Xenopus tropicalis: one gene and its partners. The protein of the gene in region 1 purifies or fractionates together with the protein of each later gene. This does not show direct contact. Links are inferred from orthologs where the notes say so. Each region holds a gene or a part of one and is shown in the gene's direction. Other genes may lie near its edges. The genes, in order: bbs12, mkks and bbs7.

Region 1 (8,268 bases):
AATTGGCAGAAAAATTGTATGCAAACTACAAAAACAATAATCCTTACCATTTTTTGAGTCATGAGAGATAAAAAGTCCTCAAAATCAATAATTCCAGAACCATCTTTATCGGTGTCGGATATAATTTTTTTCATTTCCTCTTTTTTGGGCTCAAATCCCAAAGCCCGCATAGCTACCTGTCAAATATTAACATATAATTTAACATTTTCTAGATAAAATTCTAATATATAATTTACTATTAATCCTAATAGAAAGCATATTATTACAGGTCAGTTTACAGTATAAACAGAATATGCCATGGTCAGGTACTAAAGCATGCCTGACAAAGGGGTACACCCTAGAACACTGCTACTACACTTTCAATAAACATACAGGGGCTAAGCCCCACTTGCATTACACTCGTTGTGCCATTCACCTCCTGTCTTGTTCCCGTGAGGGTGCCAACCCTCTAGGCTGTACACTGAATTTACTACTGGCAGAGGCCAGGGGTGCTGGTGGAACTTCTGTTCGGGTACTAAAGCTGACACTAGCCAAACTATCCATCAATATCGTTACATATAAGGACAATATTAGATCATAAGCCAGTGTTTATATGGGGAAAATTAAAGAAAAAAGAATTAATGAAAAATCACACCATCTGCAATAAGCCTGCATGTTCTGCTCTTGTACAGAAAAACAGATGCCACTGCACAGTCTATTGCAGATAAATATTTTTTTAATCAAAAATAGATTATTTATTTTAATTTATAGGATGTCTCTAAGCTTTGTTACTGTTCTGTAATACTGTCCAATAGAAGAGTTAAACTATCAAGGCAAGTATCTTAAGGTTTCAGAAAAGAGCCACATAGAGCATACTGGTCTGGAGGTAATTTGTGCTTTAAGATGTGGAACCCAGTAGTGATTTTTTTAGTGATCTCTGGAAACATCATACAATGTATTACAAGATGAAAGCTGCAGAGCTCTGCTAAAGAGCTAAATATATAATAATGGGGAAAAAACTATTCACTCCAGTTCACTCAGTTCTCCTCTTAGATCTTTCTGTTATAATGATTTATTTCATTATTTGTTCCTAGGAGAACTTCCCCCCAGTTTGTCATTTATACAAAATTATGTAAAAAAACTAAAACCTGAGTTTAGAATGATAACAAAGCAATACAGGTGAACCAGAAACTGGAGTGGTAATTTACTTGCTACTGATCAATCCTTGTGGTTGTGTTATTGCCCTTCATAAAATATACACTAATAAAGAGCTCCTGCACATAAATCCTAGCATATTGAATACATTTTAAACTATTGGTGGCTACAAAGATCTGTAGATCAGTGGTACCAGTAGAGATACAGAAAGTGCACTACTGAATCAGTGCACTATATGAACTTCTGTCATCTGTAGTATATTTTCTTGAGCAAATCTATGTCTATTAGTTCAGTTTTATGAATAACTTACCTTTAGTTCCTTGACATCAATGGTGCCAGATCCATCAGTATCAAACAAATCGAATGCTTCACGGATCTCCTGTTTTTGTTCCTCTGTTAGTTCAGGTTTTGCTCCTATTCTCCTACGCTGAGTGGCACCTAACCCAGGCTTACGAAGAACAGAGGCCTAAAGAAAGGCGTGGAAGGGAACAGGATTAGTTGGATTAGTATGCATATTTCACTAAATAAATACGAATGCTTGCTTGCTTCTGTAAAACTTTATACTAAGACCATAATAGAACTGAATTCTTATGTCCCTAAATACACAAATTTAGAATGTCCCTAAATACAAAAATCTAGAATGTCCCTAAATACACAAAACTAGGGTGACCAGGTCCATTTAACAATTAACAAGGCTGAACTGACCGCAGATTATTTTAAATGCAAGCAGTGCTGTCCTACAACATGTATTTATTAGAAATTCCCCGAATTGTCAAATGATCTGGTCACCCCACTTTATTATTATTTTAACGTTTATTTATAAAGCGCCAACATATTCCGCAGTGCTGTCCAATAAGTGGGTTTCATACATTGGACATACAGAGTAACATATAAAGGTCCCCATACACGGGCCGATAGAAGCTGCCGATATCAGGGCCAAACGATCGAGTTCACCTACATGCCTCCCCGATATCGCCACCCGTAGGTGGGGATATCGGGTGAAGATCCGCTCGCTTGGCGACATCGCCAAGCGAGCAGATCTGCCCGAGTATGGCCAGTTTAAAGCAATCAATAAGCTATAAAAGAGGTGAAGAGAGCCCTGCCCAAAAGAGCTACATTAAACACAATATACTCTAACTTATTTATGAAGCCCCTGTATGATCCATTTATTACACGTAAACATGTGAAATATGTTGCTTTTTATGCTTTATTTCACTTTTCAGAAACCTGAGTGATCAAATCTATCATTAAATTACAAATACTGTCAACACCAGGGAATATTTATCTAAAAGCTATAAACATAATGCCAGAGGGAAGTGTCAACGCTCTCTATGTAATGTGTTGAGTTCTGATGCATGGCTCAGTTAAATATTAGTCTCCAAGACTGACAGCGCCCTGTAAAGCATTGACTGGGGGCTGCATCTCCTCATAATGATCTAGATCTAGAAAGTAAGACACATCTTGCATTTAAACCTTTCAAAATGCCAATTCCAACTAAATTAGAAGACTGTTGGAGAAAGCATTTTCTAATACACATTTATTAGGCTAGAACTACAAGCAGCATGGTAGGTACTCTCCAAATGTATGGGGTCACTGTGCAACCCCTAAAGAGATAGGGCCAAAGCCCAGAATAAACATACAAGTAATTGGACCAATCAGTGTGCACCTCGGAGTAGTCAGTCGGCACAGTACTGAAATGATGGCTGGAAGGCACAAAACATAAATTGTAGGTTCTGACTGATACTATCTACTGCGTCACATTCACTCCATACAACTGAACTGGAATTAGCTGCAGGCAGGTGCAACATTACTTTATCCTAATGCAATATTAGCGCAGTATGCTGCAAAATAGCGCATAGCGTCTTTTTCCCCATCAAGCGCACAGAACAAGACAAAATAAAGCTTTGATGTCTCCAGTTGTCCTAAACTACACCAATGGGCAAGTAGGCGGTAGAACGTAAATCACTAGTCTTTACTGTGACTGCACATAAAATCAATTGAAAGCTACAATGAGAAATATATCAGCAGCCGCAGCAGAACGTACCATTTTTGATCGGAGTAGCCCAAATACAGCACCTTCCCGACTCCTTTTCTTGTCACTTGTGTTTCCCAGTCACAGTAACCACACCACCAACAGGCAGTCACCCCCAGCTACCAGCCCCACCCACCAGTTCCTAGTTACGATCTAATCCAATCCCTGGATTCTCAGTTCCTCATTAGCCCCACCCACATCCACAGAACCGCCCATAGCCCGCCACATAAGGCGCTCAGACGTCCCGCCACACGAACTGAAAGTATAACCTGCGCCGCGTCTCCATAGCAACAGCAATGCCTTTGAGAATCCACGCCCACTTTCCTCCGCAGCGTCTTGGTCCGCAGGCGCATGGAAGATTAATGTTTAGGTATTTGTGTTTTTGTTAATGTCCGGGGGTCTGGCGGGGAGCTATGGCGGCCTGTGCTAGCCTACAAGATCGGGGAATGTCACTGTGAAGCAGAGAGGTTAGTGAAGGAGATAGGAAGTCTGTAGAAATTAGTCGCAGCAAATGAATTTGCTGTGTTGCCCCATAATTCCAAGGGCCAGGGCTCATTTCTAACTAGCTGTGTTTCCTTATGTATTAGATAATGGCAGGACAAACCATGTTTACACAATGAGTAATATATGTGCAGGCTTAGAATCAATTTGTTTGCTTTGATTCCCTTTCAAATAATACAAAACAGTGATTATCCTGCATGACCTGCTGCTAGGTATTAAATTCTAATCCTGTAGTAAATACCCATTCATTAGAAGGGGGGAGTACAAGTTTGCGTAATCCATTTGTCTATTTCAGACCACTGTTTATGCTCCTGCTGATGAGAAAACCATATTTTAGGTATCACTGTTTAATATAACCCTTTGTATCAACAATTTACTTAAATCTGCATTCATCCAAATGTTATTCACAAATATATTTTAACTACATGCTTCTGTATTCTTGTGCCACCAATGATTGCTGGAAATAAAAGTTCTGTGCCCCCATTGATCTAAGCAAGCTGCAAATGCAATTTGTGGTGTGTTTTTATCAAAGTGGCAGCACATTGGCATCTACATGATATTGTGAGGGGAAAATGCTGAATTTTGGATACAAAGAACAGTGATTTGCAGACATCTTTGCACTATATTTATAAATAAGCATCTTCTTTTAGGCAATGAAATTACTCTGTTTAATAATTTTTTTTTATACAGGTGATATTGACAAATCGCCCATTGACTGATATGGCTATAAGGGGCCACAAGGGACTTCAGCAATTGTTAAGCATGGCAAAATCCGTAAATTCTTTTTTGGGACCCATGAAATCATACAAGTTTGTGTTTGACCAAACTACTCATGAAAGTATATTGACTTGTTCTGCATTTCGACTTCTGGAAAATCTGGATCTTACTAGCGCTGTTGGACAACTTTTTAATGAAACGATTCAGGCACATCAAAAAAGCTATAAAACTGGAACAACGACTTTGTTCTTCATGGTTGGTGCATGGAGCAGTGCTGTACAGGAATGTTTACACCTAGGGATCCCTGTTTCATTAATCGTTTCTGTTATGTTGGAAGCATTAAATTCATGCATTGGGCACGTTGAATGCTTACAGGTATTTCTAAGGTCCCAGGCAACTAGTGACTGCACAAATATGAAGGCGCATAGCATTGACTGTATGCGTTTTTCAGCCTCAGGGGATCAAGTCAAATGTTCTTCAGAACAAAAAAACATTTCATTACCTCATGTTTCTAATGTAAGGACAACTTTTGAGTGTCCTGCAGCGTTCCGTAAAGAAATGTCCCTGCAATATACTGGCACAAATGTTCCTAAAACTCAAACTTATCAGAGGAAAAGGCTGTTTCACAGCAGGCACTTAGCTGAAGAGTTAAGTTCTTTCCGGGATGTGTCTGAAAAGCCTCAAACATCTACATTAAATAATGAAACCCTGGATGGTTTGGCTAAAGGCTTGGCTCATGGTTACCAGCCAGTTATGGACCTTGTGAAAAAAGCAGTTATTCTACAATGTGCAGAGATTAAAGAAAACTTATTAGATAAAAGCAGTTTCAACATCTCTAGACTTGAGACTTGCAGTTTACCAGGTTTGTCCGAAGAGCACACAACTGTATCTACTGGATACACTACTTTAGTCCCACCAGAGAGTGCTGTTGCCATTGCACATCTAAATGGGCAGCCACTTAGAATCCTTCTTGTAGATGGGGAATTAACTGAAAGGCATCGTCATTTGGGCTTTAACAATCCAGACAACATTAGAATGGTGTTTGAATATGCTGGCAATGAAAAACATAATTTAGAGGATTCTTGGATTGGTAGGGCATATGAAAAAATTATTCAAGCTAATATAAACTTAATTTTAGTAAGGGGTGATGTTTGCCCAGTTCTTCTAAAACAGTGCATTCATAGAAATATCCTTATTGTTACCCAAGTAAAGCAGAATATTCTGCAAGCGTTTTCTGAATGCACTGGCGCAGAACCTGTGACATACCTAACTCAAATGAACACCTGCTCTGTGGGGAATGAGGCCTTTGTCACGTTGTGCACTAAAGCAAACTCCATAATAGAAGTAGGCCAAAAAATAGTTATTTCTATTAAAGCAAAGAAACTAAACCTGATAACAACTATACTCAGCAGCAGAACACCAGCTACAATGCAGGCCATAGAAGATCAATTTTGGACATGTGCATACAGGTTACATCATGCTCTTCACGAGGAAAAGGTGTTTTATGGAGCCGGAGCCATTGAACTTTTGTGTATTAGCCACCTTCAGAAGCTTGTACAAGATCCCTTAAAGTCTTACAAAGCAAATGACAGTACCCAATTCCATTGCCTCTCATCATGGATGACTGAAAGTGCAGCTTATTACAGAGCACCAATTATCAGATGCCTTGCCAAGGGCTTGTACAAGTATATTTCTGTTCTTCTTTGCAACATGGGCAAATTTCTTTCAGAATTGGATTCTGTGACATTTATAGAGAATGAACTTCAAAATATAATCCAAAACTCTTCACCTACTGACTACATTCGTGATGAGTACTCTAAAAAAGTATTATTTATTGATGGTATCGGCATTCCTGTCACATCTCAAAGTTTACCAGTGTATGATAATGTTATACCAAAGCAGGAAGCATGGCGCAGAGCTTTGCATTTAGTTCTTATGGTGCTTCAGACAGATGCTGAAGTCATTACCAATTCTGCTGTACATAACCAGATACTTTTGTCAGAGAGTTCAAATGGAGAATACCTATTTCTATAGCTCTGAGAACAAGAAACTTTGCATTTGGACTTTATGAATCCTTAGTTTTAAGCACAGAAACACTTGATTTCCTGATGCCTTCTATGTTTTAGAGCAGTGGCTCGTGAGCAACATGTTGCTCCCCAAGCCCTTGGATGTTGCTCCCAGTGGCCTCAAAGCAGGTGCCCATTGTTGAATTCTTGGCTTGGAGGCAAGTTTTGGTTGCATAAAAACCCAATATAATGCCAAACAGAACCTTCTGTAGGCTGCCAGTCCACATGGGGCCTATTAAATTGTCAATTATAGCTCTTATTGGCACCCCCAGGAACCTTTTTCATGCTTGTGTTGCTCTCCAACCCTTTTTTCATTTGAATGTGGCTCACGGGTATAAAAGGTTGGGGATCCCTGTTTTAGAGTATAATTTTTTGATAAGAGCAGACATTAGTGCTTATCAGGGGCTCAATTTAGCAGCTTCTAAACACCACATAAGTCAGAAACTGATTCTCCCTGATTTTAGGGAGACTGCTTTACTCTTTTCATTTGTTATTGCAGTTATTAAAAGCCATTAATTTTTTTGTGTCTATACTGCTTCAGTCATAATTAATATGAAATAAATCTAAACCGAATATGAACAGTAACCCCCTTGAACATCTTTAATTGAAAATTGGCATCTAAGGGCAATAAGACATTAGTGGTTTTTTCATTTGCAGGAAATCAGTCCTATCACTGAAATTGTTATTGCTGTATGTGTAATACTTTACACTTTACATCTGATTTACATCTGATTTAATTTATTCTGCCCCCTCCCAGGATTTATATATTCTACCTTTGTTCGCAAGCTGAGTCCCTGGGATATCCTGCAGCTGCCAGCCAATAAAGATTCTTCCAGCACTACTAATATAGGTATGGGATATATTATCCAGAATGCTCAGGACTTTGTGTTTTCCGGATAAGGGGTGTTTCCATAATTTAGATCGCCATACCTTTAGTCTACTGTTTTACCTTTTTAAGGATTAATAATATCTAGTTGGAATCAAGTCCAATGCACGGTCTTATTACAGAGAAAAAAAGAAATCATTTTTAAAAATTTGAATTATTTGATTAAAATGGCGTCTATGGGAGATGGCCTTCCCATAACCTGGAGCATTCTGGTTAACAGGTTTCTGGATAATGGATCCTGTACCTGTACTACATACTTTTATCAGTGATTATCATTTACAATTTCCATTATCCTCTACATGTTGCTGTCATTTTTAGTGATTAAAGTTAAACCTTATGCATTCCCCTTTGGCATTTTGATGTTAATATGCAGTTAGTTTACATGCATTACATCTTCTTCTGTGCATTTTCCATACTCCTTTTTCTGCTCCCTATTGTTTTGCAGTATTGCATCTAGAATTTATTTGTCAGGGAACACATTTTTTCAATATCTTTTTAATACTTTTAACTTTGTGTATTTACAAATTTTGAATGGACAATTTCAAATGAACCTATCAATCCTGTTTGTTTCCTGTGATATTGTGTAAAGACATACCCTCCTGGATATCAAAGTAAAATAGGGCCCATGGGTATTGTGTTGCATATATTATTACAATAGCCAAAAATAAAGCAAACCTAATTTATTTTATACATTTTAATATGTCCAGTGTATGGCCTATCCTGGGAATACGTAAGCTATTACTTATATGACTTTCCCTTACCCAAACCTCTGAACTCCAGTCAGCACTAAACTTTTGCACAAATCTACCTAAGCTATAGGCATCCAAAAAAACAAAAATGAAATCAATTGCTAATTGTCTCAGAATACTACTTTCTAGATAATAGAAAAGTTGGTTAAGAGGAACTTAAAGGAGAAGGGAAGGCATTTTGGC
Region 2 (6,798 bases), on another chromosome or scaffold:
TTCCTGATAAGTCTGGGCCCAATATTGTTTTAGGGAAAAGTGTTATTGTACCAATTGAAGGTCACAGTGTATCAGAATCCTCCGTGGTGCCTGGCCTTCTCATTGAAATGCCCGAGTTTTGTTGGAGCAGATCTGTACCTTCCAGTGGATTACCATTTGCAGAAATTAAGCTAGCTTTGTTTTCCATCTCACTATCTGGAGACCTTTGTGATACAGGAGAAGGGACTCTGAACATACTAAATAGCGTTGACACGGAAAATGTTATGCTGGACCAACTCTTGATTCTTGGGAAAAAATTAGTTGAGGACCGTGTCAACTTCCTTCTGTGTCAAAAAGTTGTCCATCCATCCTTGAAGCAATACCTTAAAGAGCACAGTGTCGTTGCAGTGGATAGATTAGGTGCAGCTTTAATGGAACCCGTGAGTCAAATGACAGGTAATTTTTCTTTAAATAGTGTATAAGTTAAAAGGGGTAATCTTCAGCCAAGTGATGTGATGAGCAAGTGCTATTGTGAATATTCATAGTGACCTTAAAAGTATGAACATGATTCATTGTCCTCTCCTCTCTTTGCTTTATCAGTTGTAACCTATTTTTGGTTGAAAAAGTTTTTACATGACAATATTTTTGCTCCCTTTCCAATAACAGGTGCACAACCTATAGCTTCTCTTAGCTCCATCCCTGACACTTGCTATGGCAGCTTGCAAGGTCTTCATAAAATGTCTATGGGATCTAAGCATTATATACACCTTATTCCCACTGGCAACTCAGTGTGCAGCTTTGTCCTCTGTAATCGAAATGAGACATCATTAAAAGAGCTTATGGTAAGTCCATGTTTCACTATGTCACAAGTCTTGCCCTTTTCTGTAGTATTTTATCTTCCTTACCAATACCATGTGTTACTAGTCTAGAATTATTTTTTTTTGTTTCATTTTTAACAGTAAAGTAAGTGTTCCACCTTGTATAGGATGTCATTATGTATGTATGTATGTATAACTTTATTTATAAATCGCCACAAGGGTACGCAGTGCTGTACAATCTTTCAAAATACAAAATTACACACAGGGAGGACAAGTGTTATAATAAATAAATAAATACAATAAATATATATATATATATATATATATATATATAATATGCACAGGGAATAAGTGCCATGTGGTATGAGACACAGTAGGAAGGAGGTCCCTGCCCCGTAAAGCTTTTAGTAATCTGTAAAAATCCAAGCAATCGCTTGCACTTGCAGTTTTGACCCATTACTGACAAGGTTTTCAAAGCCAGATCAACTGCCACTTGGCTTATGTTCCTACATTGATTAAATGCCATGAGAAAGTTGTCCAACTGGGCATAAGCTTAAAGGTGAGTTTGTGAAGTCAAAAGGCTTATATGTGTGGCTGCTTGGTCAAATTCTAATTTTCTGATCATTCCTCTCTAATGGAGCAGAGATTCAATGCACTAGATTTAAAATAGGCGGGCAGGGGCCCGTCTGAGATACAAGGTAGTAGCAGCAGGCACTCTGTGCAGAGAACGGCAACCCTGGGGGGCAGAAGTGCTAGTAAATGTGACTAAGGGCCACCCTCTTGCACTTGTGCCCCCTGGTATTATAAATTACTCCTTATGTTTTTTACACTTAACCACCTGCCATTCACTTTTCTAAACTCTATGTGCTCAATGGAGCACAGATATTTGGCCCTTGCCCATAAATACAGTGCTGCCTGGTGATACCAAAATCTCTCTACCTTGCACCTTATTTCCAATCTGGCACTAGGTGTATAGCACAGCCAGACCCTGTATGCAAAGTTGTTTAAATAAGCAATAAGAGCTGCCCCTAGGACTAGCTTCAAGAGCTTATATAAGTTCAGTAGCAATATAAATGTCATTGGGCACCAACTATTATTGACTTTTGCAAAGTTTTGAGCACATAGAATTTGTGAGGTTTTGCACTTTTTTTCCTGAAGTTCTGTTGCATATTATATTTTATTTTTTTCTTAGTAGTTCTGCCTTGTAACTAGTTTCTTGCAAATTTATCATGGTTTTGTTACAATACTAAGTCTAAAATCTTATTCTTATATTTATTCTGGTGTTTTGTGTCAGCATTAAACAAATATTTGATAAATGGCAAAATAAAACTAGAGAATACATCTTGCAGATTTAGCTGGTGACTTTATTTTATTGTACTTTAATAAACCCAATTTCCCTAACGGGAGGCTAGAATATATATCACTGACTGTTTTTAATTTAGGAGATAAAGGAATGGCTGCTTCTGTTCCAGCCTGGAACTGGAGACCAATTATAAATTACTGAATTGTCCAACGGTACCATTTTTTTTAAAGTTAATTCCAAAATTGTCTGGATCATTAAGTGAATGGGGTGATTTATACAGTTATTAACCTGTTTTGCTTTGAACAGTGATTTAATAAATAACAACATCTTCATTTTTATTGCAGCGGACCTGCGAGGCAGCAGAGCGTGTATTACAGCTCACTCTTAAGAACCCATGGGTGTTGCTTGGTGGTGGCTGCACAGAAACACACTTGGCAGCATTGCTGAGATACAAGGTAAAATTATTACTGCAAAATAGAACTGTCTAATTTAATGCACCCCATCAAAAGCCAGAAGCTAGATTGTAATTAAGAAATAAATGACCCTGAGCTTGGACATCCTTGTTAGAGATAATTCAGCATGTAGGAAATAGCTTGCAGCTACCCTGTACACCCTTATATATCCCCTCCCACCTTTTTTTGGGCTTTTAGTTACTGTTGCACACAGGAGCGTGCACCATGGGCCAATTTAATCATGCTGTGACTGTTAATGACTATATTTAGTGAACAAGATAAATAATTTCATTTTTTTACCCCTGTTTCAAAGAGCATCCTACTTATCATGCTCCATTGCTGTTTTAAGTAAAGCATTTCTAATATATATTGCATACACATTTTCTGTACTGGGAATATACCAGAGGCTTCACTGATAATGGTCTTCAGGTTGGTATTGTTTTCTTTGTGTCTGGATGCACCATAATATAAAACTCTATCTCTAGGCAGTCAGCATATGTACTTAGTTACACACACACACACATATTTATATATATATATATATATATATATATATATATATATATATATATATATCAGTCCTGATGGTGTCTGCACTCCAAGGCTTTAGTATTCTGTGGGGTGCACAGCCAAAAAAAATTTTTTGAATTTTAAGGGTGTGCCGGCCATGGATTATTTCATGCTGTATATATATATATTTGTATATATATATATATATTTGTATATAAAGCTGTAGCTAATGTGTCAGGTCCAAGTGATTTTCCAAACCGTTATAACTAACAAACCTCTGAGTATATAAACATTATGACCATAGAAGTAGTTAATATCTATCCAGTATTAGCTAGAGCTTAGCTGTGATTTTACTCTGTTTCAGAGTGCCAATATGCACAGCAGTGGCCTGACAGAGCTGAACTGCACAGCGGCAGAGTACCAGCTGGTGGCCGATTGCTTTTGCATCTCATTAGAGGCTCTAGCACGAAATCTGGAACACGACGGAGGAGAAATGTCCATTGATCTACAGATGGGTCATTGCTGGTCTGCTGCTCCTGATGGTGCTGTGGATTTCCATTGCTCAGATACTGGGCAGCAATGCGGGTGTGGAACGCACAGGAAATTAGAAGGGTTAAAGTGCAGTGCTCTGGGAAGTAGGTACGAACCATTCTGTCCTCAGGGGAGCACAGAAAAACAATTATACCCAAAGTCGGACAAGTTTGTTTTTGACTGTTTTGCTGCAAAATGTAACGCCTTACAAGTGGCTGTTAACACTGCCAGTTTAATTCTGGACCTGTCATATGTAATTGAAGATCCCAATTAAGTCCTGTTTCTTAAACAAGTGTATTCGGAGTGAAAAATTTGATTGTAAAACTCACCTTGCTATAGAGATATTTTACAGTGGGTGGGGTCTTATCTATGGCAAATTACCTTATACCATGTGATGTTTCTACTGATTAAAACTTAAATGTTGGGAGTTGTGGTAAATATATTACTATCGAGTCATTAAAGGAACATTTAAGTGTAAAATTAAACTGGGTAAGATAAACTGAATAAAAAATATTTCTAAAAGTAAGCCAAAAATGTAATCTCTAAAGGCTGGAGTGAGCAAATGCCTAACATAATAGCCAGATCACTAATACCTCCTTTACAGCTCTCTAAGCTGTTAGCCATCAGTAACCAATCAGTGACTTGAGGGGGGGTCATATGGGACATAACTGTTCATTTAGTTTGCACTAATTGAATCTGACCCGCGTGCTCACAAACTAACTGAAAAGTTATGTCCCATGTGCCCCCCAGCTGAAGTGAATTTTTTTGGACGTCGGGCTTTATTTTAGACATGTAATACTCAATAAACATTTGTACTTACTTTACTTTATTTGAACCGTCATTGTTGGTACTTTTGGAGTGCCTGACCAAGTTCTTGTGATTCCGCTCCCTCAGGCACCCAAACCCAACATTTCAACTAGTGAGTTCTTCTGTTTGCACTTTTTTGGGTAACACATAAACTAAAAATCATTTAAACTTTAAATAAACCCAATAGGATTCTTTTGCCTACAATATGGATTTATTGTATCCTAGTTGGGATAAAGTACAAGGTACTGTTTTAAATTACAGAGAAAAAGGGAATTTATTTTAAATTTTTAATTATCTGATTAAAATCGAGTCTATGGGAGATGCCCTGCCTGTAATTTGGAAATTTCTGGATAACAGGTTTGCGGATAACAGATCCCATACTTGTATAGGCATATGATCTATTATCTGCAAATTCATTACTGGAAAGCTCCAACTGATTACCTTTTTCTCCCTAATAATAAGATGGTACCTTGCACTTCATGGTAATTAAGCTGCATTATTCCAGAGTATTGATTAATGTGTTGTTCCAGAGGACAGATCCCATATTCTGTATTTAATTAAACCTAATTAGACTTTACCGTGTCATTTTAATAATAAATGTAAATAAATATTCACAAATCACAGTCATATATGGTGGTGTCTGTATTATTTTTCTAACTGTAACTATAGGGCAGTTGGTTTCACTGTAATGTTGTTGGTGTGTAAGGTTGGATTTTCTTTTAGCATCTCTTCAAATACATGGATATACACAGTGTTACAAATAAATAATATATTGGGGTAACAGTCAGGGTCATATGGTTCCAGGAGAACAGCAAAATCTCACTCGCTTCAGTGGCTTAGGGAAACATGATCATAGGGTAAATCTACTTACTTACCATGAAGTAGAAGGAGAAGAAACGAACTAAATTCCTTGGTGTCAAGCTGGACATACATGATCCATAATAAAATGCCAACTTGGCGGCTTATTATTCTTATATGGGAGCTTCTCGACAGGCTGCATCTTTGATATTTATTAGACATGTTTGAAGATTTCCTTGGGTGAGGGCCACATTGATTCATCCTTTCATAACGGGTCTTCAGAGAGTCAATGAGGCCAATAATCCAATCAGCCTTATTTAGCCAAGTTCATGGGTAGCCAAATCAAGTAGAAATCCTCTGGAGAGGCTCTGTAAGGTCTAGCAGCAATGTAGCATCTCCTCATAAAGTGCCTGGAATGTATTTGTTTTTATCAGTCGTAGAAATCTGTTCCTTATGGTGCTTTAGTTCCCCATTTTTTCTTAAAGGAACAGTAACACCAAAGTGTTTTAAAATAATTTATTTTAAACAGCATAATTAGTAGGTCCCTTGCTGTATGTACTACCTGTAAGGTTATCAAACAACATGGTAAGGTCTAATATAAAACCCATTCTCTGTGTTGTACCACTATGCAGAATAGGTATAGAAAGTGATGTAGCACAGAAAATATTTTCTCCCAGTTCCATTATTATACTTTACTTTGGATCATTTTTAAAGAGATAGAAATAGGGAGGGTCATAAGCAGTAGGGTAACTATGTGATGCAGGGTAACTATGTGATGCAGGGCCCCACAACAAAAAAATCTTTGGAGGGGCCAGGCATGCATAACCAACGCTTTCCCCCTCGCCCTTCTGCCCAATCACATCCCTACATCCCTGCCTGCTCTAGGGTAGGAGAGAGGCTGGAGAAGGGAGAATTCTGCACTGTAAAGGTATACTATATGACCAAAAGTACTTGCTGACACAAGTGTATGATCATACATTGACATTCTTGACAATTCTGAGCTGGGTAGTTTAACGAAGGCACCATAATGTACAAAGCAAGGTTCATACACAGTAGGTTTGCTGAGATAGGATTGGAAGAACTTAATTGCCCTGCAAAGAGCCCTGATCTCTTGCCAACCGAACATCTGTCGGGTGAACTTGAACATCCATGTGAGTGAGGCCTTATTCCTAATTTCAGTACCTGAAACCAATTGAACCAATTCCCACCAACAATGTCCTAATATCTAGTGGAAAGCCTTCCCTGAAGAGTAGATGGTAGAAGCAGCTTTATATTAATACATTTGGTTTTGGATTAAGCTATCAGGCAGGCAGGCTTCCATATACTTTTAGCCATATAGTGTAACAGTACTGTACAGGTATTGGACCCCTTATCCGGAAACCCATTATCCAGAAAGCTCCGAATTACGGAAAGCCCGTCTCCCATAGACTCCATTATAAGCAAATAATTCAGAATTTTAAAACTGATTTCCTTTTTTTATGTAGAAATAAAAAAGAACCTTGTAATTGATCCCAACTAAGATATAAATAATCCTTATTGGATGCAAAACAATCCTATTGGGTTTAATTAATGTTTTATTAATGTTTTAGTAGACTTAAGG
Region 3 (6,798 bases), about 830 kb from region 1:
GGACATTGAAGGTGAACAACCCCTTTTAAATATTATATATATGGTTTGGTTGTAGCTACTACTTGAACAGGAAAATCTAACCTGTGAACTACTGTTCTGCCAATAAGTACATATTATGTATTCAATGCACATTTACTGGCATAGTATTTAATCTGAATGCCTGAGACAGCCTCTATACAGGCAGCTTCTTATTTGCTTTAGTGAGAGTATAAAACAGGAAGAAAGATATGTAGATTACCGGCATCAGTGCAGTCATTTTAATATATACAAATTGCCTTCAACATTGCAGCAACATGTTTTAAGGTTTATTTATTATATAAGGTTTGGTTTCTCTTCAAGGTGATCTTTACATGGCAATTAAACCTCAAATGTGGTTAAAAAAAATAGCCAAATCAATAGTATTGTGAATCCACAGTAAGAATAGATGTTTTTCAGCCTGTGGAGTGGAGTGAGAGGTATCACAGTGCTCATGATATTGATGTTTACAGAGTGACGTCCCTGTGGATCTGCTGGATGTCGACAAGAATTCAGCTGTGGTCAGCTTCAGCGGCTGTGATAATGAGGTGAGAAGTACTTGTGCGAGGATCTAAGAGGCATCTTCATTTAAACCCTTCAGCAGGAAATTGTATCATTTATGTACATGAGAAATTATACACTTGCTCAGATATCTCACACATTACAGTGACGCTTCTGGTATGAGGCAAGGTAAATAATGTACTTTAGGCAGCACTTTACTTTAAGAAGAATTAGTGAGTGCAGAAGAGCTAGGAGAAAGTGGGAGGGATTGGCTTTGGCTCTGCTGCCTCTGGTGGCAATGTGCCAGAAGGTTGAAGGTAATTCAGCAGCAAGCAGAGTATCCATTGCTCAGATATGTGTATGTGATTCTGGTTTCTCTGAGCTTTACATTCGTATTGAAAAAGTTTTGTAATAATTCTTAGCTGATTATTTCTAAATCTTTCTTACAGCCAAATGGCAACTTCCTTCTTGCTACCTATCGTTGCCAAGCTAACACCACACGGCTTGAACTCAAGGTAAAACAAGCATTTAGATTTATTTCAAGTAAAGTAGGAATGAAAAACCCAGATCGAGTGTACATGTGTAATACTCTCTCCCTCTTCTCTTACTATCTCTCTCTATATATATCTTTACTTATAGCAGCTGGGATTGCACACTATCCGTAGTGTTTTTTGCAGGTTACCTTTTTTTTCTCTTTTTTTTGCATTAAGGCTGATTTATTTTTTCATTTATTAAAACAGATTCGGTCTATCGAAGGACAGTATGGAACCCTGCAAGCATATATTACACCTCGCATTCAACCAAAAACTTGCCAAGTCCGCCAGTACCAGATTAAGCCTTTGTCACTTCATCAAAGGGCTCATGCCATTGATCAGAACAGGTACACTGTGCCAGAAATGTTTTTTTCTACACTGCATGGGAAAGCCAAAAGTATTGTGTGTTTGATTGAAGAAAAATAATGAATCAGCAGTTCAGCACTTCAATAAGGCTATGCCTCCACCCAGAGGTTTACAACTGTTGAGCAACATTATTACCTCAAGTGAGGCCTAAGTAAATGATAGATCAGTCTAGCCTGAAGGCTAGCTTTCTGTGTGATTTGAGATGACTGCTTATTTGCTTTCAGAAACAAATCAAATGCCACCCTGAAAGTCAGGTAGTAGATATTTGGGCTGAGCACATTGCTCTTGTAGATATTCTTGGATCTTTAGGAAGGTGACATTAGCACCCTTAAGCCCATTAGACTCTGTATTGCACATGTATGAGCAATTAAACAATGCCTGACTCACTAATATGGCAACACAGTCAGATACAATATTAGGACAGGTAGAGGATTTTTTTTAATAAAGAAGAGCACAGGCTGGCAGAACTTATCATCTATTAAAGTTTGATGTTATCAAACATCTCCACCTTTTATTTTGGCTCATTGTTCTTTAAATATATTTACTATTTTGGAAGGGAACATATATTTAAAATTAAATAAATAAAGCTTCATGAAGGAACAGACCAAAAGTGGATGAGAGTATGAGTTATGCTAGACTGACAGTAATGATATGTGCATGTATTTCAGGCCCATGAACACGGTGAGCCTGACTGGCCAGTTCAGCTTTTCAGACATGCATTCCTGGGTTGTATTTTGTTTACCTGAAGTCCCTGAGAAAACTCCAGTGGGAGAGAACGTCACCTTTTACTTCAAGAATACCTTTCTGGAAACGCAGCTCGAATGTACATACAGGTAAATTGTAAAACTGGGTTCTTCAGAATCATTTCCGCCAATTAAAAGCACGATTGGAAAAAATTTGGAGTAACCACAATAATTTCTAATGTGCAAAAATTCTTTTTTTGGTCATACGAAAATATCGTGGTTGCGATCCGAAAGTCACAAAATGTTCATATCCGAACGATCGTTAAAGGTGCGAGATCCTTTCTGGCTTTAAAACTTAAATGCATGATTTTGGAAGCCTCCCATAGGACTCAATGACACTCTACAGCTCCAACCTGGCCAAAAAAAAGTCACAATACCAAAGCTTAAATGAATTCCGAAATTGTCGTAGTCTTTGCAAAAAATACAAAGTTTTTGTGGAATTTAACGAAAACCACGAAAAAGTCTTACTATTTTAACGATATTGTTGTAAATACGAAAAGGTCTAACAATTAGAAAAAATACAATTTTTTCTTATTCGTGGTCAATATAACCAGGACTGTTATATATAATGTTCCAGAATGTGCAATCCATTTACAGGTATGAGACCTGTTATCCGGAATGTTTGGGACCTGGGGTTTTCCAGATATTTCCATAATTTGGATTTCTGTACCTTACTACAAAAATCATTTAAACATTAAATAAACCCAATAGGTTTGTTTTGCCTCCAATATGAATTAGTGCAGCTTAATTACGATCATGTACAATGTACTGTTTTATTATTACAAAAAAAAAAAAGGAAATCATTTTTAAAAATCTGGATCATTTGATTAAAATGGAGTCTATGGGAGATGGCCTTCCTGTAATTTGGAGCTTTCTGGATAACTGTGTCTGGATAACTGAACCCATACCTGTATCAAAACTTGTTAAAACAAAAGTACTTCAGTCAGTGGGTCTTGTGCAGCATCAAAATATTATGTTCATTAAAAAAATATATATATGTTGTCACTGAAATGTCTTCTGTGGACTTCCACAGGAAATGAAACCTATATATAATATATTATACATATATATAGCATTGTCATTCATGCTCACCTCTTTTTTTTTATCACAGAAAGGGAGAAGGATTATTTAAATCTGACAATATATCAACAATTTCTATCCTGAAAGATGTGCTGTCAAAAGAAGCCACTAAAAGAAAGATTAATCTCAACATATCATATGGTATTTTGTCTAATTTACTTTCCCTTACCTAGCCTTATACAAACATACATTCCACTGTTCAGTGCTCTTGTTCTTGAAATGTATTACTTTTGTGAGTATTTATTTCTTAATATACTTTTTGTAATCTTTTATAGTGCAGTATATCTCCACCTTTGTATTGCAGACTAACACAAGCTGTTTGTTACCGAGTCTGGAGATATTTCAAGTAGTTCAGTTATGTGTGCCATCTAGTTAGGAAATGTTGATGCCTTATTATAAATATATTAGAAAATAGAAATTATATTCATTGTAAAAAGAAAATATTTCAAATCCATATTCATTTTATCTGAAAGAGTATTTAGTTTCATCAAAAATATAAAATACTAAAATATTTTAATGAATGTATACTGGAAAATTATTATATTGAAAATAACAGTTAAATGTTATTTTTGAATTTATATCCCTTTAATACTACTGACTTGTTTCTCAAATTAGTGAAATAGGTTGCTAAGTTTTTCCCCAGGCTGGTGCTCCTGGAGGGAACTGCACCAACCTGTAGAAAAAACTGTCTGAGCACCGCACCGGCATCTCCTTACCTTACTTTCTTATTTGAGTGCAGTGGCCGGTAAATGGTAAGTAAATTGGCGGCATGGCGCTCAGACAGTTTTTTCCACAGGCTTTTAAGATTCTCTTCTAACAGGAGCACCAACCTGGGAAAATAATATAGCAACCTATTTCACTTAGGGGGCCTAACATTTTGGAACCCCTCCATAAAATAGACTTTACATGTCCTGTAATACAGATTCCCTTTGTAAATGAGCTATTCCTTATTACAAAGGCTGCAGCTTAGGTATTAGCGGGGTTTTTTTATACAAAGCTCATTATCTCCCTTTGAAATATTACCCTGTTTTATTTATTGTGCTATTTTCAAGCCAAGGTGTTTACTGCCCCTTTGAGGGAAGATAAATTGTTAAAATGTCAGTAATGGCACTTCTGGTATAAAACATGGCTTTTACTGCTAAGAAACAAACCTAGAACTTTATAATGTAAAAGAAAACAAATTTATGTTATGGCCTTTTAACATTATTTTTTAAGAGCTGTTCACTTTTCCTGAGCTCAAGGGTAATGTTAATGAATGTTAATGCAGTTTGGATAGTAATTACTAGAATGAATGTTACGGTTCCTCCATGTGTAGCAAGCTTTTGCAGTCATCATATAAAACTAACTTTTGCCTCACTTCTTCTTTTGGTTTGTGCAGATATAAATGAAGAATCTGTTGGGCACACTTTGAAACTGATTCATCCAAAACTGGAGTACCAATTGCTCTTAGCCAAAAAAGTACAATTAATTGATGCTCTGAAGGTGGGTAATATGTGTTAGGAGCATTTCTTCTTGTGTGAGCTTTTAGCTAATTAGCTATCAATGGGTCTGTCTATGTTTCAAAATCATGAATGTCAGCATGCTAGCCAGTGTTGGATTACACACCCCAACTTTAAGATCATAAAAGCAACTTTTCTCCTTTGGGCACTGGGGGTTGAGGTAATCATTGTGGTAAAGCATTTTTCTCACAGAAGCAAGACACTGATATCAACAGGGCTGACACATGGTTTTCCCTTCTCTGCATTTTCTAGAATTACACCAGCCAGCTCTAGCCTTTCTGTGTCTTGTTGGTAACAGGTTCTACTGTCGCATACCCATCTGACACCCTAAGCTTGGCTGGTGTGAGACTCTTGCCCTCGTCATTTCCCTTTGTGGGAAGGATTTCACTATTTTGTCTCATTGTCCCTCTCACCTGTTCATTTTACCAAAGATTAAATCATAGGCACTTTAGAAAAAGGCATTGATAACATGTAGCATGTTCCAGTCTGGGAGAGCCAAAAAAGTTTTTTCAGGTTCATGGTAAAGTAATCCTCAGTTTGTGGCTTATAGTCTCACACCCACTCCCTGCATTTTCACAAAAGCAGTGGCAGTTCAGGGCTCCCTCCCAGCATCCTGCAGCTCCCCACCCCAGCATCCTCCAGCTCCACTCCCCAGCATCTCCTCAAAATCCTCCCACCAGCATCCTTCATCTTCCCCCCCCCCGCGACCTGCAGCTCCCTCCTCCAGTGACCCCCTGCTTCCTCCGTCCTTGGCTGCTTCTGTCCCCCCGGCTCCCTGCTGCATCCTTTTATATGGTTGCGCCACATGCGTGGTGACGTCATGCGCACGCACGGGGCGCAACCAATAAAGGCCCGTCATTCTTTTAAGGGGGCCGGAGTTGGCGGGCCAGATTAAAAAGGCCAACGGCCCAGATGTGGCCCGCGGGCTGTAGTTTGCCCACCCCTGTTCTACAGGATACGAATGCTCTGCAAATGGGCTTGAAATGATTGCTGAACTATTTAATTTTGGTTTTGTACAATAGGAGCTGCAAGTTCATGAAGGAAACACAGACTTTCTGATCCCAGAGTACCGTTCTATTTTAGAAGAGGCAGAGAAACTTCAGGAAGAATACAAGAAGCAACCTGCACATCTTGAAAGGCTTTATGGTGGGTTTTGATGGTTTTTAATATGTGGTCCCCATATTTTACCCAAAATGAACAGAACTTCCCTTTTCTATGGTATAAAGGGATTTATCCCACTACAAACAAGTCTCACTTACAGCCCTGATCTACAGACTACACCCCCAGTTACATCTGATGTACATTGTGATTATAATTACAAACTTATAACAGGAGCACTACTGCAGTTGACAAGAGGATGTCACAGTAGTTTAGACAATGCCGAAACTGCAAACTGAGTCAGTATCGTCTTTACAAATTTGGGGCAGATGGTTGTTACAAGGCTGATATAACTAAATAACTGATATAAATAAAGTAGCCAGCGGTTCACTATAGTTTGTTTGTTTTTGCAGGTATGATCACAGATCTCTTCATTGACAAGTTCAAATTCAAGGGCACAAATGTGAAAACGAAGGTTCCCCTCTTGCTGGAGATTTTGGACAACTATGAACAAGATGCACTTATGGCTTTTTTTGAAACTGCACAATGAGTGACATGAGCCAGCTATTAATTCACATTACTCTGATATCAAGGCACATATATAATAGCAGCCTTTGGCCCTTCAGGGGTGCTGGTAAAATGTACTGTAGTTCAGCAACATGGGGGGAACCATATTTGATATGGTATAGTATTTATTTTGCCAGTCTTTCTGTTGGCCATTTTTCCAACGGTTCTTTATTCCGAAATGTTTGCGTAGATTGAAAAATTATACCAGTAACATTCCTATAATTTGTTTCCTGGACCTCGGGCTAAACTATCTGATCACAGTACTGGAAAGGCCATTGGGGCAAGGACTGCATCAACGAGGCAATTAGGTCCACGATTCAATGGGATTTTGATTACCTGCCGATAGATATCAGGCTTATTTTGTCATAAAGGGCCAGTGAGCTGCTAACTAGGTCC

The links.
Region 2: the proteins of bbs12 (region 1) and mkks purify together in Homo sapiens (co-immunoprecipitation; 4 studies listed by BioGRID and IntAct, counting the BioPlex papers as one, with this or other methods). This does not show direct contact. The link is inferred for Xenopus tropicalis from reciprocal best matches to the Homo sapiens genes BBS12 and MKKS.
Region 3: the proteins of bbs12 (region 1) and bbs7 purify together in Homo sapiens (co-immunoprecipitation; 3 studies listed by BioGRID and IntAct, counting the BioPlex papers as one, with this or other methods). This does not show direct contact. The link is inferred for Xenopus tropicalis from reciprocal best matches to the Homo sapiens genes BBS12 and BBS7.

The regions. Positions count from the first base shown.
Region 1 is NC_030677.2:65,985,233-65,993,500, reverse strand, and holds bbs12 (Bardet-Biedl syndrome 12 protein), read left to right. Parts: upstream 1-3,380; 5' UTR 3,381-3,536; intron 3,537-3,542; exon of another isoform or gene 3,543-3,633; intron 3,634-4,357; 5' UTR 4,358-4,387; coding exon 4,388-6,418; 3' UTR 6,419-8,024; downstream 8,025-8,268. Other genes in the region: cetn4 (centrin 4), read right to left, coding at 48-176, 1,445-1,600, 3,179-3,181. UniProt on the Homo sapiens protein: Component of the chaperonin-containing T-complex (TRiC), a molecular chaperone complex that assists the folding of proteins upon ATP hydrolysis.
Region 2 is NC_030681.2:26,753,238-26,760,035, reverse strand, and holds the end of mkks (McKusick-Kaufman/Bardet-Biedl syndromes putative chaperonin), read left to right. Parts: coding exon 1-435; intron 436-645; coding exon 646-821; intron 822-2,444; coding exon 2,445-2,555; intron 2,556-3,426; coding exon 3,427-3,867; 3' UTR 3,868-5,027; downstream 5,028-6,798. UniProt on the Homo sapiens protein: Probable molecular chaperone that assists the folding of proteins upon ATP hydrolysis. Plays a role in the assembly of BBSome, a complex involved in ciliogenesis regulating transports vesicles to the cilia.
Region 3 is NC_030677.2:66,815,601-66,822,398, forward strand, and holds part of bbs7 (Bardet-Biedl syndrome 7 protein), read left to right. Parts: intron 1-488; coding exon 489-563; intron 564-965; coding exon 966-1,031; intron 1,032-1,256; coding exon 1,257-1,396; intron 1,397-2,083; coding exon 2,084-2,248; intron 2,249-3,269; coding exon 3,270-3,379; intron 3,380-4,616; coding exon 4,617-4,720; intron 4,721-5,759; coding exon 5,760-5,883; intron 5,884-6,248; coding exon 6,249-6,385; 3' UTR 6,386-6,798.